3 linked regions of the Ovis aries genome follow. The protein of the gene in region 2 interacts with the protein of the main gene of each other region in a biochemical or structural test. Links are inferred from orthologs where the notes say so. Each region holds a gene or a part of one and is shown on either strand. Other genes may lie near its edges. The genes, in order: PRMT6, HMGA1 and PRKCA.

What was found.
Region 1: of the proteins of HMGA1 (region 2) and PRMT6, one has a biochemical effect on the other in vitro, tested with the Homo sapiens proteins (2 studies listed by BioGRID, with this or other methods). The link is inferred for Ovis aries from reciprocal best matches to the Homo sapiens genes HMGA1 and PRMT6.
Region 3: of the proteins of HMGA1 (region 2) and PRKCA, one has a biochemical effect on the other in vitro, tested with the Homo sapiens proteins (2 studies listed by BioGRID). The link is inferred for Ovis aries from reciprocal best matches to the Homo sapiens genes HMGA1 and PRKCA.

Annotation. Positions count from the first base shown.
Region 1 is NC_056054.1:84,387,223-84,391,577, forward strand, and holds PRMT6 (protein arginine N-methyltransferase 6), read left to right. Parts: upstream 1-1,549; 5' UTR 1,550-1,572; coding exon 1,573-2,700; 3' UTR 2,701-3,849; downstream 3,850-4,355. UniProt on the Homo sapiens protein: Arginine methyltransferase that can catalyze the formation of both omega-N monomethylarginine (MMA) and asymmetrical dimethylarginine (aDMA), with a strong preference for the formation of aDMA.
Region 2 is NC_056073.1:8,467,163-8,470,439, forward strand, and holds the end of HMGA1 (high mobility group protein HMG-I/HMG-Y), read left to right. Parts: intron 1-59; coding exon 60-110; intron 111-1,369; coding exon 1,370-1,423; 3' UTR 1,424-2,678; downstream 2,679-3,277. Other genes in the region: SMIM29 (small integral membrane protein 29), read right to left, coding at 3,192-3,257. UniProt on the Homo sapiens protein: HMG-I/Y bind preferentially to the minor groove of A+T rich regions in double-stranded DNA. It is suggested that these proteins could function in nucleosome phasing and in the 3'-end processing of mRNA transcripts.
Region 3 is NC_056064.1:61,844,176-61,848,275, forward strand, and holds the start of PRKCA (protein kinase C alpha type), read left to right. Parts: upstream 1-1,267; 5' UTR 1,268-1,370; coding exon 1,371-1,543; intron 1,544-3,808; coding exon 3,809-3,840; intron 3,841-4,100. UniProt on the Homo sapiens protein: Calcium-activated, phospholipid- and diacylglycerol (DAG)-dependent serine/threonine-protein kinase that is involved in positive and negative regulation of cell proliferation, apoptosis, differentiation, migration and adhesion, tumorigenesis, cardiac hypertrophy, angiogenesis, platelet function and inflammation, by directly phosphorylating targets such as RAF1, BCL2, CSPG4, TNNT2/CTNT, or activating signaling cascade involving MAPK1/3 (ERK1/2) and RAP1GAP.

The sequences.
Region 1 (4,355 bases), on a different chromosome or scaffold from region 2:
CAAAGATCCAGCCCAGCCAAAAATAAATGAAAAAATTGTAATAAAGAAGTACAGCTGAGGATGTCAGGTCAATAAACTTATTTCATTCAATGACAGATTAATAGAGAATGGGCTGAAGGAACCTTCCCCCAGATAAGGAATACAGGCCCATTGTTAAAAAGAAACAGTTTGAGACTACAAGAAAATAAAAGTCAATTTTCTTCATGTTATTTTTTTTTAAGCTAGGAGAAAATTTTTTTCTCACCTTACTTGTGAAGAACACAGACATCCATATAGACATCACAAGTATTTTTAAATGCATTTATTTCTACTATGAACATCTCAGAGGGAAGAGGTTAACAGCTGATAGTTGACTAAAAGGAACACAGAAGAGGAAAAAAGGATTACCAATCTAGCCCAGACATGGAAACAGGCAGGAAAAAGTGAGTTGAAGCAGAGAAATGATCACAGGTGATGAAGGATTCCGTTACCTATGGAGGGAAAAAAATCAGCTACCAGAATACACCTAGCAACAGTTGCTTTTCAACTATTCCTCAGACTGGAAGTTTCCAAGATTTAAGCCTTGAATGAGTCACAGAATTACCGGGCAGAACTAAGAGCCAAATAACTAATCTCCTAAAATAGAGAACAGAAACTTAATTTTCAACTGCCTTGAAGATTCTTTGTTGCTGGAAGGTGCATGGGTAATTGAAGGCAAGAGTACTTACACAGCTTGCCCTAATCATTCCGTTCATTTGTGGTCCCACTGGAATCCAGACCAGGGTTTTACACTGTTGGGTTTTTACTTTGTTTCATTTACACTTTTGCATTCTGCTGCTAAGTCGCTTCAGTCGTGTCTGACTCTGTGCGACCCCATAGACAGTAGCCTACCAGGCTCCCCAGTCCCTGGGATTCTCCAGGCAAGAATACTGGAGTGGGTTGCCATTTCCTTCTCCAATGCATGAAAGTGAAAATTGAAAGTGAAGTCGCTCAGTTGTGTCCAACTCCTAGCGACCCCATGGACTGCAGCCTACCAGGCTTCTCCGTCCATGGGATTTTCCAGGCAAGGGTACTGGAGTGGGGTGACGCTGCCTTCTCCCTTTTGCATTCTACCTCCCCTGAAAACGGAGAAGAAAAACACGTAGTGCATTTTCCAAATCTCCACTTTTGGAGAGCTTTAAGAGTTGCAACTGTCCAGATGAGGCAGTAGGGTGTGCACGGTGCCGCCCAGAAAATTCTATATAATAAAAAATCTGGGAGTTGGACAAAACAAAACATGGATTTTCAGTTTTAAGTGGGCGTGTCCACGTCACGAAGGGCGTGAAAGCAAAAGAGACTGAACAATCTAAGGGAAGGAGAAGGAACGTAGAGAACCATGGAATGTGAGTGCAGGGGATGGAAAAGGGATTCCAAGACACCAAAGGAGCAAGAAAAAGAGCAGAGTACGGATCATTGGTATCTGGCTGACATTCGCCCGGCGACCTGCCAAAACCGGGAGGCACGAGCGCGCACTACAACTACCATAAGGCCCCGCTTCCTGGAGCCCGAGGCGCGGCGCGCAACGCACGCCGGGAGTCGGCCCAAGCCGCCAAGATGTCGCAGCCCAAGAGAAGAAAGCTTGAGTCGGGGGGCGGCGGCGAAGGAGGGGAGGGAACTGAAGAGGAAGATGGCGGAGAGTTGGAGGTGGCTGTGCCGCGACCCCGGAGGACTAGGCGGGAGCGGGACCAGCTGTACTACCAGTGCTACTCGGACGTATCGGTCCACGAGGAGATGATTGCCGACCGCGTCCGCACCGATGCCTACCGCCTGGGCATCCTGCGGAACTGGGCAGCGCTGAGAGGCAAGACCGTGCTGGACGTGGGCGCGGGCACCGGCATCCTCAGCATCTTCTGTGCCCAGGCAGGGGCCCGGCGCGTGTACGCGGTGGAGGCCAGCGACATCTGGCAACAGGCCCGGGAAGTGGTGCGGCTCAACGGGCTGGAGGACCGGGTGCACGTCCTGCCGGGACCGGTGGAGACGGTGGAGTTGCCGGAGCAGGTGGATGCCATCGTGAGCGAGTGGATGGGCTGCGGACTTCTGCACGAGTCCATGCTGAGCTCTGTGCTCCACGCGCGGACCAAGTGGCTGAAGGAGGGCGGTCTTCTCCTGCCGGCTTCCGCCGAGCTCTTCGTGGCGCCCATCAGCGACCAGATGCTGGAGTTGCGCCTAAGCTTCTGGAGCCAGATGAAGCAACTCTACGGCGTGGACATGAGCTGCCTGGAGAGCTTCGCCACGCGCTGCCTCATGGGCCACTCAGAAATCGTGGTGCAAGGCCTCTCCGGCGAGGATGTGCTGGCCCGGCCGCAGTGCTTTGCTCGGCTAGAGCTGGCCCGCGCCGGCCTGGAGCAGGAGCTGGAGGCCGGGGTGGGCGGTCGCTTCCGCTTCAGCTGCTACGGCTCGGCTCCCTTGCACGGCTTTGCCATCTGGTTCCAGGTGACCTTCCCCGGAGGGGACTCGGAGAAACCCGTGGTGCTCTCCACCTCGCCTTTTCACCCCGTCACGCACTGGAAGCAGGCGCTCCTCTACCTGAACGAGCCGGTGCAAGTGGAGCAAGACACGGATGTTTCCGGAGAGATCACGCTGCTGCCCTCCCAGGACCACCACCGTCACCTGCGGGTGCTGTTGCGCTACAAAGTGGGCGACCAGGAGGAAAAGACCAAAGACTTTGCCATGGAGGACTGAGCGTGGTCTTCTCTCCCAGCTACCTCCCAAGGAAGCCAGGCACGGAAGAGGCGGAGGGTTGGTCGGCGGAGTAAAGGAGATTTCACGTGCAAGTAGGGAGCGTTATCTTCCGTCTCCCTTTACCCCAGGGCTCCTGGGGAGGGAGAGTGACTTCAGTCTCGCTTCGTGGAGATTCTTCTGGCGATATTTATTAAAAAGTGTTTTCGATCCCCTGACACGACCGAAACAGCGTGTTTATTAAGGGCCCGTTAAACCTCAAAAGCACGTGGTACCAAGCACTCCTTTTTCTATTTCTTTTGTTTCTTGTAAATTAAAGGGGGAAAAGGGTATGAAATTATCAGTTTGTGAAGGTTCCATTCACTTCCCTGACACCTCACACCCTAAGTCTAAAGCCAGGGAAAGGGAAAAAGGGTTTATAGTTAGACTCCATGTATTTCCAATAAGACGGGATATCACTCCAGAGCCATATTCTCTCATTTTCTGAATTCCCTCTCTTCCCAGGTGCCTCTAGACTACAGTATTTTGTCCTCTTTTTTTAATAAGTTTTACTACTGATAACGTGGGGGAGGTGAATGAGGGTAAAGTTTAAATAACACCTACTTCCTTAAGATGCTAAAGTTGATGACACCTTACTCCATTAAGTGAAATAAACTTCATTCGTACTAGTACAGCATACCTAAGAAATCTAGAAGGGTACGTGTTGGAGAAAAAGACCTGAAATACAGTAAAGTCGTATGGACTTTTTGTCTTTACTGTTAAGATTTAACCAAGAAAATTTCATGTAAGTTCCATAGTAAAAATTTTGTGTGCTTTATAACAAACTAGTAGAGGCGATTTCTTCTGAACTTGGTCCAAGGGTTTATTTATCACCTTGGGTAAATTATTTAAGTAAGGAAAATATTTTCCCAGCTCGAGAATTAAAATCCCTCATTCAGGGGGATCATGTGATTTGGCCTACTAACATCAAGTGAAAATGTTTTTGTTAGTGTTTTGTTTGTTTTCTGTTTATTTAGGTCAGCTAAATGTGAAAGTTGTGAATTTAGGAAAATCATTTGTAATGTGAGTTATGTTATCAAATTTATTTTACCCATGTTTCCCTCCTCATCTCTGGCAAATAAAGCACTGGCATTCTCTATTTTTATAGATGAAGTAAGAAGTCTTGTGTACTGTTTGAGTTATAACTTTTGCCTTTTTAGTATTGTTCTTAAAAATGGTGTTATAACCCCTACAGAGCATAGCTTAAGGATAATCAACTATGCTTAATGTATGGTTTCTTTACACTAGTAGCTTTAGTATGCTAATAGAAAGCAGGTGTGAAAATCTGATCTGAAGCAGCTCTGTTGCAACAGTTTTTTCTTCTTTATTCATCACTTATTAATATACTTAAATATAACTAATTTGCTAAAATTTGGTATCAACACATGAGATCTGCCATTAGTAAGGGAACTATACATGTACAAAATCATCAGCTTTACAAGATCCTTGACTTGCAATACATTTATAGTTGTCACCACTGTTGGTATTAGGATAGTTAGCTTATGCAAATGGTACAGTCATAGCAATTTAGGCCTGGTTTAAACTAGAGTTACAAATTGGTTCCTTATGTTAAAGTCAACTATATTTTATGTTGAACATTTATTAGCATTTTAGTGTAC
Region 2 (3,277 bases):
TTGGGTGGGCACCATCGGGGACATTTTTGACTTAGTGGATCTTTTTTCTGACCATCTAGAAAACCACCACAACTCCAGGGAGAAAACCAAGGGGCAGACCCAAAAAACTGGTAGGTGACTGGGGCAGAGGCAGCTTGGTTCTTCTGGGGAGACTGTTGAAGAGTGAGTGATGCTCCATCCTGTGCGCCCACAGAGGGAGATGGCTCTCCCTGACCTGCAGGGCCAGCAATGGTGGGACTTCACGTTTTCACCCAGGCCTAGGGAGGGAAAGGGTTTGTCCAGGGCCCCCGGACTCCTGGCACTCAGCCTAGGGCTTCTGAAGAGCTGTGTCCGTGAGAAGTGTAGGGTCCCGGGTACAAACCAGGCTAGACTCCCTGCCCTGCCTTACTGGGGGTGGTTCTTATCTTTTCCTTCCCCTGCTTCTGGTTCAGAGTCAGAACTTATAGGGTGGACCTTGAGGTCATATGGTAGCATCTCCCCACCCCGCCCCACTCCCCCATTGTAGTAATGAAGAAGAAGGGGTTTAAGCAGCAGCAGTAGAGGAGCTCAGCTCCAGAACGGGGCTGGGTCATAGCCTGCTGGGTGGGAGCTGAGGGGCCCCACCCCCATCTGGGCCCCCAGGCAGCTGGGAGTGGTGGCTGGTGGGCTGCGCCCAGATATCTGCAGGCTGGGCCCCTGCAACCTGTCCTCCTTGTGGCTTGTTCCTCGAGCTGTGTGAGCTGAGCCACCACCGGCTGAGGGGGGCTTGGGGTGCTGGCAGGGCCCCAAGAGTGAGTAACAGGAAACGGGTTGTTTTGGAGTTTGTGCCTGGCACGGGGGCCCTGTGTGGTGTCCCGACATTCCCGCCCAGTGAGTGAGCCCCGGCCGGCACACACTTCCCCTCGCTCCCCGCCCTGGCCTGGGGTCAGCCTGCGGCCGTGGCCACTCCACCGCCTAGCAGCTGCCCCTGCGGGCCGCTGAGGCCACCTGGCACCCTCAGTGGAGGGGGCTCACAGCCTCCAGCCACCCCTGCCCTCCCCTTCTCTCCCTGGCTGCTGTCTCCCACCCCAGGACCAGTCACTTCCTTGCCAACTTGAGCCCAGGGTTGCCCTGTGCTCTGCCAGGAGCCCCCTGCCCCTGGGGGCTGAGGGGCCTGGCTGTGTGTGAGACCAGCGTGTGTGGTTTTTTTTTTTTCCCTCCCTTTAAATTCTTCCTTTTTTATGAATGAAACTGGGCCGTGGAGGTTGCTGAGTCACCCACACACTCAGCCCTGACTCATCCCCCTTCTGGAGAGGCCGGGCGTGGGGGGGTGGTGAGCTTGGCCTCTGGGGGCGGCAGCGGAGGAGGGAGCGGGCCTGGCATTCTCTTGATGGCCCTGCCTACCCTGCAGGAGAAGGAGGAAGAGGAGGGCATCTCGCAGGAGTCCTCAGAGGAGGAGCAGTGACCGCCGCCTGCTCCCTCCCGAGGAGCAGTTTCCTTCTGGGACTGGACAGCTCCGCTCTGCTCCTGCCCCCCTGCCCCCAGGCCCCCCCCCACCCTCTACCTGCGCCCTCCCCGCCACACTACACTGCAGACCAGCTGCCACAGGGTCCCCGGGCCCGAGTGAGGAGCCACTCCCTTTGATTTCAGGTCCCAGCGACCCTTCACCCAGCCGCCCTCCCCAACAAAGCTGACTTCCACTTAGCCACTCCTGCGCTGCCGCATCCCTGCTCCCTGCGTGGTGGGGGCCTTGCTGGCTGGGCTCTCGGTTTGGGGATCCCCTCTGCCTCTCCCCTCTGGCTTCCCGATAAGGGGCCTGGGAGGGCTCCCCTGGCCTTAAGAGGGGCGCAAGCCCCATCTCATTCTCATTTGGACACGCCCCACTTCACTGTACTAGCGGCAGCAGGTGCCGCCACTGGAGAGGGGTGACTGCCCCGAGATGCCCCCCACCACCCCCTCTCCTTCCCGCCTTGCCTTGTTCCCACACTAGGTGGGGCCACCCTCTTGGGGGCTCAGGAAGGAAGGTAGGAATGTAAGCCCCCTCCCAGCTCTAGGCAGGCTCTAGCCCACCTTGCCCTCACCCTGGAATCCCATTGCAATGATGGAGAGAGTCCCCTTTATCCAGGTGAGGCCCAGGAGGCCTGGGCTCCCTGCAGCAGCCTCTTGAGCTGGAGCCACTCCCCACCCCTGTCTGCTTCCGCTCCAGGCCTCAGTTCCCCTCCTCCCTTCCCTCGGGGCACTAATAACAAGGAGCTAGTCTCGCCCACTCCCACCCTTCTGCTCCTCCCCAACCCCCAAGGTTCTGGTTCCATCTTTCCTCTGTTCACAAACTACCTCTGGACAGTTGTGTTGTTTTTTGTTAAATGTTTCATTCTTAGACATCCGTCGTTGCTGCTGCTACCAGCGCCAAATGTCCATCCTCATCGCCTCCTGTTCTGCCCACGTCCCCCTCCTCCAAGAAGCTCTTAGGGGAAGGGGTCTGGAGCAAAGCAGGCTGGGTACCAACTCCCCGAGTCCCAGGGAAGGTGGGGTCCTGCCCCTAGGATGCTGCAGCAGAGTGAGGGCGGGCGGGGAGGGGGCCCGTGTTGACTGTCAGGTGTAGGGGCCACCTTCTCCACCTGCTCTGTCAGGGAGGAGGTAGCCATTATTTGTCCCAGCCTGGGGCTCCCCTCTGGTTTCCTATTTGCAGTTACTTGAATAAAAAAATATCCTTTTCTGGACTGAGTCTTTTCTGTGGTGGGTGCCTAGAATAGGGAATGTTAGAAACCAGGGATCTCTAGTGAGTTGAGTGAAAAAGAAAAGGCACTGGAGTTGACTACAGGGAAGGTAAGCCCCTTTTGAAGAAATCACCTATACCCCTAGCCACAAAACATTTTATTTACAAAATATATATACTGAATATACATTAGGCCCTGTCACCATGGGAACAGCTCCAAAGCTATGTCTGGGAGGGCTAGAGAAAGGTGCCCGTGGAAGGGCAAAGCCCTACCTGGTAATCCCAGCCACCCTTTCACCCCAGGAAGAAACATTCTCATTAGTTCCTGGGAGTGACTGGTAGGTAGGCTCATCCCACAAAGGACTGAAAGCCGAGGAGGTGGGTCCAGTGGAGGCTGGTGGCTCTGCAGGGCTTAGGAGCCGGGCTGGAGGGAAGGGTGCTGGGGGAGCAGCAGGCTGTGGGGCCCTGGGCAATCAAGACCCCGTGGTTTGGAGAGGGGTGGATCAGGGGGCTCAGGTCATGTCTTGACATCCAGCAAGGGCATCCGCTTGTGCTGGTAGCCACTCTGCCAGCCGTGGACCACCTGTAGCAGGGGAGAGCGGG
Region 3 (4,100 bases), on a different chromosome or scaffold from region 2:
CTTGTGTCTCCTGCACTGGCAGGAGTTCTTGACCACTAGTCCCACCCGGGAAGCCCCGCCCCCTTCCACTCGGGCCCCGCCAAAAGTGGAGAAGTTTCTGACCAGACTAGCCGGCAGGTGCAATGTTCTTAAGCTCCAAGAACATTGGTCGGAAACATTGTGAGTGAGCGCTGGAAGTACACGCCCTTTAAGGGCGGGTCAATCGCTTACCCCTGTCAAAACAAAAGACATTCCTACCAACAGGCGTTCAACTGAGCAATCTTAAAAGAAATGGAACCCTACTTGGCCTGTGTACCATAAGACAGCATAGATCTTAGGAAAGGTTTCTTCCTTCCTTCCATCTCTAGTTCTTTTCCTATCTTCTTGAAGAATTCCACATATTCCTTTCCATACATGCGTTAATTTCTGATCTGAGCGAATCTGACAACGAAATAAAACAATAATGAAACGTTTCCCTCATGTATTTTAGCATCCTCGGGGCAGAGCTAACGAGTATTCAGCAAGTGACTAGTCGGTCCGGCCCCACGCGCGTGCTTCGCCGGGCCGTGCCAGCCACGCTTTCACGGGGCAGTTTCACTCGGCAGTTTGCAAACGAACTGGCTGCGCTCGGCACCTGCCGGTGGTCATCAGCCTTAGGCTGCAAAACCGTGTCTAAATGGAGGCTCTGGGCTGGTAAAGTCAAGAAGACCTGATCACCCACGCTGTAAGCGTGGTACCCAACGGGTAACGGGGTGAACAGCCAGGACAGGTCCTCCAGCCGTCCCGAGACATCAGACGCGTGTACCCGGCGCGGGGCCGCCCGGCTCCGGGGCCGCAGGCGGCACAGCGTGCCGGCCCCGAGGGGCTGAGCCTCCGAGCGGCGCGGGCGTCGGTCCCGGGACGGCGCTGGGTCCTGGAAGGGGGCGCGGCCGGGGGCCGGCCCGGGACGCGGGGCTGCGCCTGGGGCGGGAGGAGCGGAGCGCGGGAGGGAGGAGCCCGGCAAACCCGGGGGAACGGGAGAGGGCGCTTCCCGGGCGGCTCGGGGGCCGCGGGGCCGCCGGCTCCCTCCGCGCGCGCCCCCGCCCTCCCGTGCGTCCCCGCCCCCTGCGCGCGCCCGCGCCGGCCCTCCCGCGCGCGCCCCCGCCCTCCCGTGCGTCCCCGCCCCCTGCGCGCGCCCGCGCCGGCCCTCCCGCGCGCCCCCGCCCCGCCCGCCGGGCCGCGCTCGGGCATGCGCGGTGGGCGGGCCGCCCCCGCCGCCCGACTAGGAAGCGCGAGCGCCGGCGCCGCCGTCAGAGCCGAGCGGCCCCAGCGAGCTCGCGGCTCCGCTCCGCTCCGCGCCCGCCCGGCTCCCGGCCGCCCGCGCCCCCCGCGGCCGGAGGCGGCGAGGGACCATGGCTGACGTCTTCCCGGCCGCCGAGCCGGCGGCGCCGCAGGACGTGGCCAACCGCTTCGCGCGCAAAGGGGCGCTGAGGCAGAAGAACGTGCACGAGGTGAAGAACCACCGCTTCATCGCGCGCTTCTTCAAGCAGCCCACCTTCTGCAGCCACTGCACCGACTTCATCTGGTGGGTGCGCGCCGGCCCTGCAGCGCCCGCGCCCGGCGGGGCCCCGCGCGGCGCCGCCGCCTCCCCGGGCCGGAGGCTCGGAGCGCGGCCCCCGAGGCTGCCCGGGCCCCGCCGCGCGCGCCGGCCTCGCCCCGCGCCGGGCCCGCGAGCCGGGGGGAGCGGCGGCAAACTGTTGAGGCGGGCGCGGGGAGGGCGGCGGCCGGCCGGCCGGCGGGGCGGGCGCGCGGGCGGCCTCTGCAGCGGACCCGGGCCTGCCCGGGGCTGCCGGCGGGCTGCGGCCGCCGAGCCCAGGTAACTTGCAGGCAGCGGGGGCCCCCGGGCCGCGCTTTCCGCGCCGCGGCTGCCGGACAGGCTGCAGGGCCTCCGATCCCGCCAAGCCGGAGGGGATCGCGCGTGTGCTTGTTTCCTGGGGAGACGCTGATGACTTTGACTGACTTTCGAAAGGTTGTGACCCCTCTCCTCCCGTTGTTTTAAGAAAGCTAAACTAGGGCAGTTCAGATGCCTCACTCGGAGAAGCACTCGCTTTTTTCCTCTTACGTTGCCAGACAACCTCCACGCATTCTGTCACTTGCTGCTGTGTGCAGGAAGCCCCCGGCCCCCCAAGTCGGAGCCGGCTGGGCCTGCTTCAGTCCCCTCCGCCGGGGGGAGCGGCGCCGGGCAGCTAACTGCCCAGCCGCTGTGTGGCTCCTGGATCTTGCGGGGCTCTTGGGAGAACGAACGCTGCTTGAATGCATCACACGGGGAAACCGTCTCCAAGGGCGAGTCCCGCAAACGTGCTAATTAATAGGTACTTAACTTCTCCCTTAAGCTCTATCTGAACCCGTCACACCTGGGGGAATCTTTAAGGGAAAGCCCCACAGATGTGCTCATAAGGTGCTTAACGTCTTCGCTTCTTTTTAGAAATCCGCTCCAAAGCACACTTAGGTAAAAAGCACAGCCACCTCTCCGAATTATTTCCGAGGTATAGTCAGCGCCTGAAGCGGTTGAGCTCCTAGGCCAATGTAGACAAGACTGCTTAAGGTCAGTTCTTGGAGCCTCAAGGCAGAGAGATTGTATTTAGTTAAGGGAAGGTCTTCGGCCTCACGTGTCAGCTGTGAAATTCCATTAAAACAGAACAGACTGCCGATTACTTTTGCAGGACGAGGGTGAGGTAGGAAAGAGGCTTGCAATCTATACATCCAGGCTTGCTGAAGACTTCCCGCTGCCATTTGTTGGCCCCTGTGAACTGATGTGGCCACCAGGCATAGCACGAAGTGGAAATGAAGACCTTGTCCTCTTCTTCCCCATAGTCAATACTCTTCTCCACTTGGCTGCAGAGCAACCCCTCGGAAGTTCCAGGAAAATACTCCCCAGCACGGTCTAGCCGTGGTTTTAATTTTTCAATTTTCTTCTCTTCTCTGCTTCCCTGGTTTACAACTCAAATATTAAAGCACTGGTATTTTAAAACTGTTTGCATTTAAATTTTTTGGGGGGGTGGGGAGTGACTAAGTTAATTATAAAGATATGTGAAGTGCTTTGTAAATTTAAAATGCTATGTAAAGCAAGAGATTATGACTCATAACCTTCTGAGAATTTTAATGTAGTTCATCCTAGTTGAAATGGTGTTTGCAATTTAATGTCCATGTCGGAGTTCTCTGCTTAGAGAGTAAATTCTCTAAAGTAATTTACAAGAGCAATATAGCTTCTGAATGTGCTTGAATGCTGTTGGTTCACAGTAAAATAAGATCATCATCTCACATGCAAACGATAGGGATGACACTGTAAAATCTGGCTCCTTTAAGCCAAAATTTAGTGTTAAGAGTGATGCTATGTGGTGATCTCTAGGTAGATAATACTTCATAACAAATGAGGAAGCCACTTGTTTGTTTTTGGGGTGAAAAGATTTTCAGTTGGTCTTTAGGGACCAAATTCAGCCATCTTTGTGGATTTGGTTTTTTAACCATAAACTTCTTCTTGTTGCTTGAATATTGTAGCCAACAACTTTATAGTCATGTTCTTAAATTAAGTACTGATAAAATGTTAGAAAAAACAAAAACAAAAGCCTGGCAAGAACCTTGAATATGTTGAAATGAGTTCAGTGAGACTTTGGAGGCCAGATCTTTTCAAAGTTGACTTGACTACACTCTGAGCTGTTTAGGCATGTTTTCCTGTCAAATCATTGGGTTTCATGTGCAAATCTTTACCTTTGTAGAATGCTTTGTCATATAACTGGCTTAAGATGTGGTGTCAACAGAAAATAAGAAATTTTTCTTGTTTGTTTTTCAGGGGGTTTGGGAAACAAGGCTTCCAGTGCCAAGGTAAGCTGCCATGTTGGATTTTATTTTCAAGTACAACAAGAAGTAAGCATTCCAGACAAGAACAGTGTTTCCAGTCATCTTTTATTTGATAAAAAAGCAAAAACACATTTAGATGTTTTCAAAATGTGAGGGCTGTAAACTTGGGCCTGGGGGAAGAACACCATTTGGTATTTTCTGGTACTCTGCGTATAGACCTGCCTTTTTCTTCAGGGGAATAAAACCTTCCTGTAACTTTTTTTTTTTTTTTTTTTTGCCGAGAA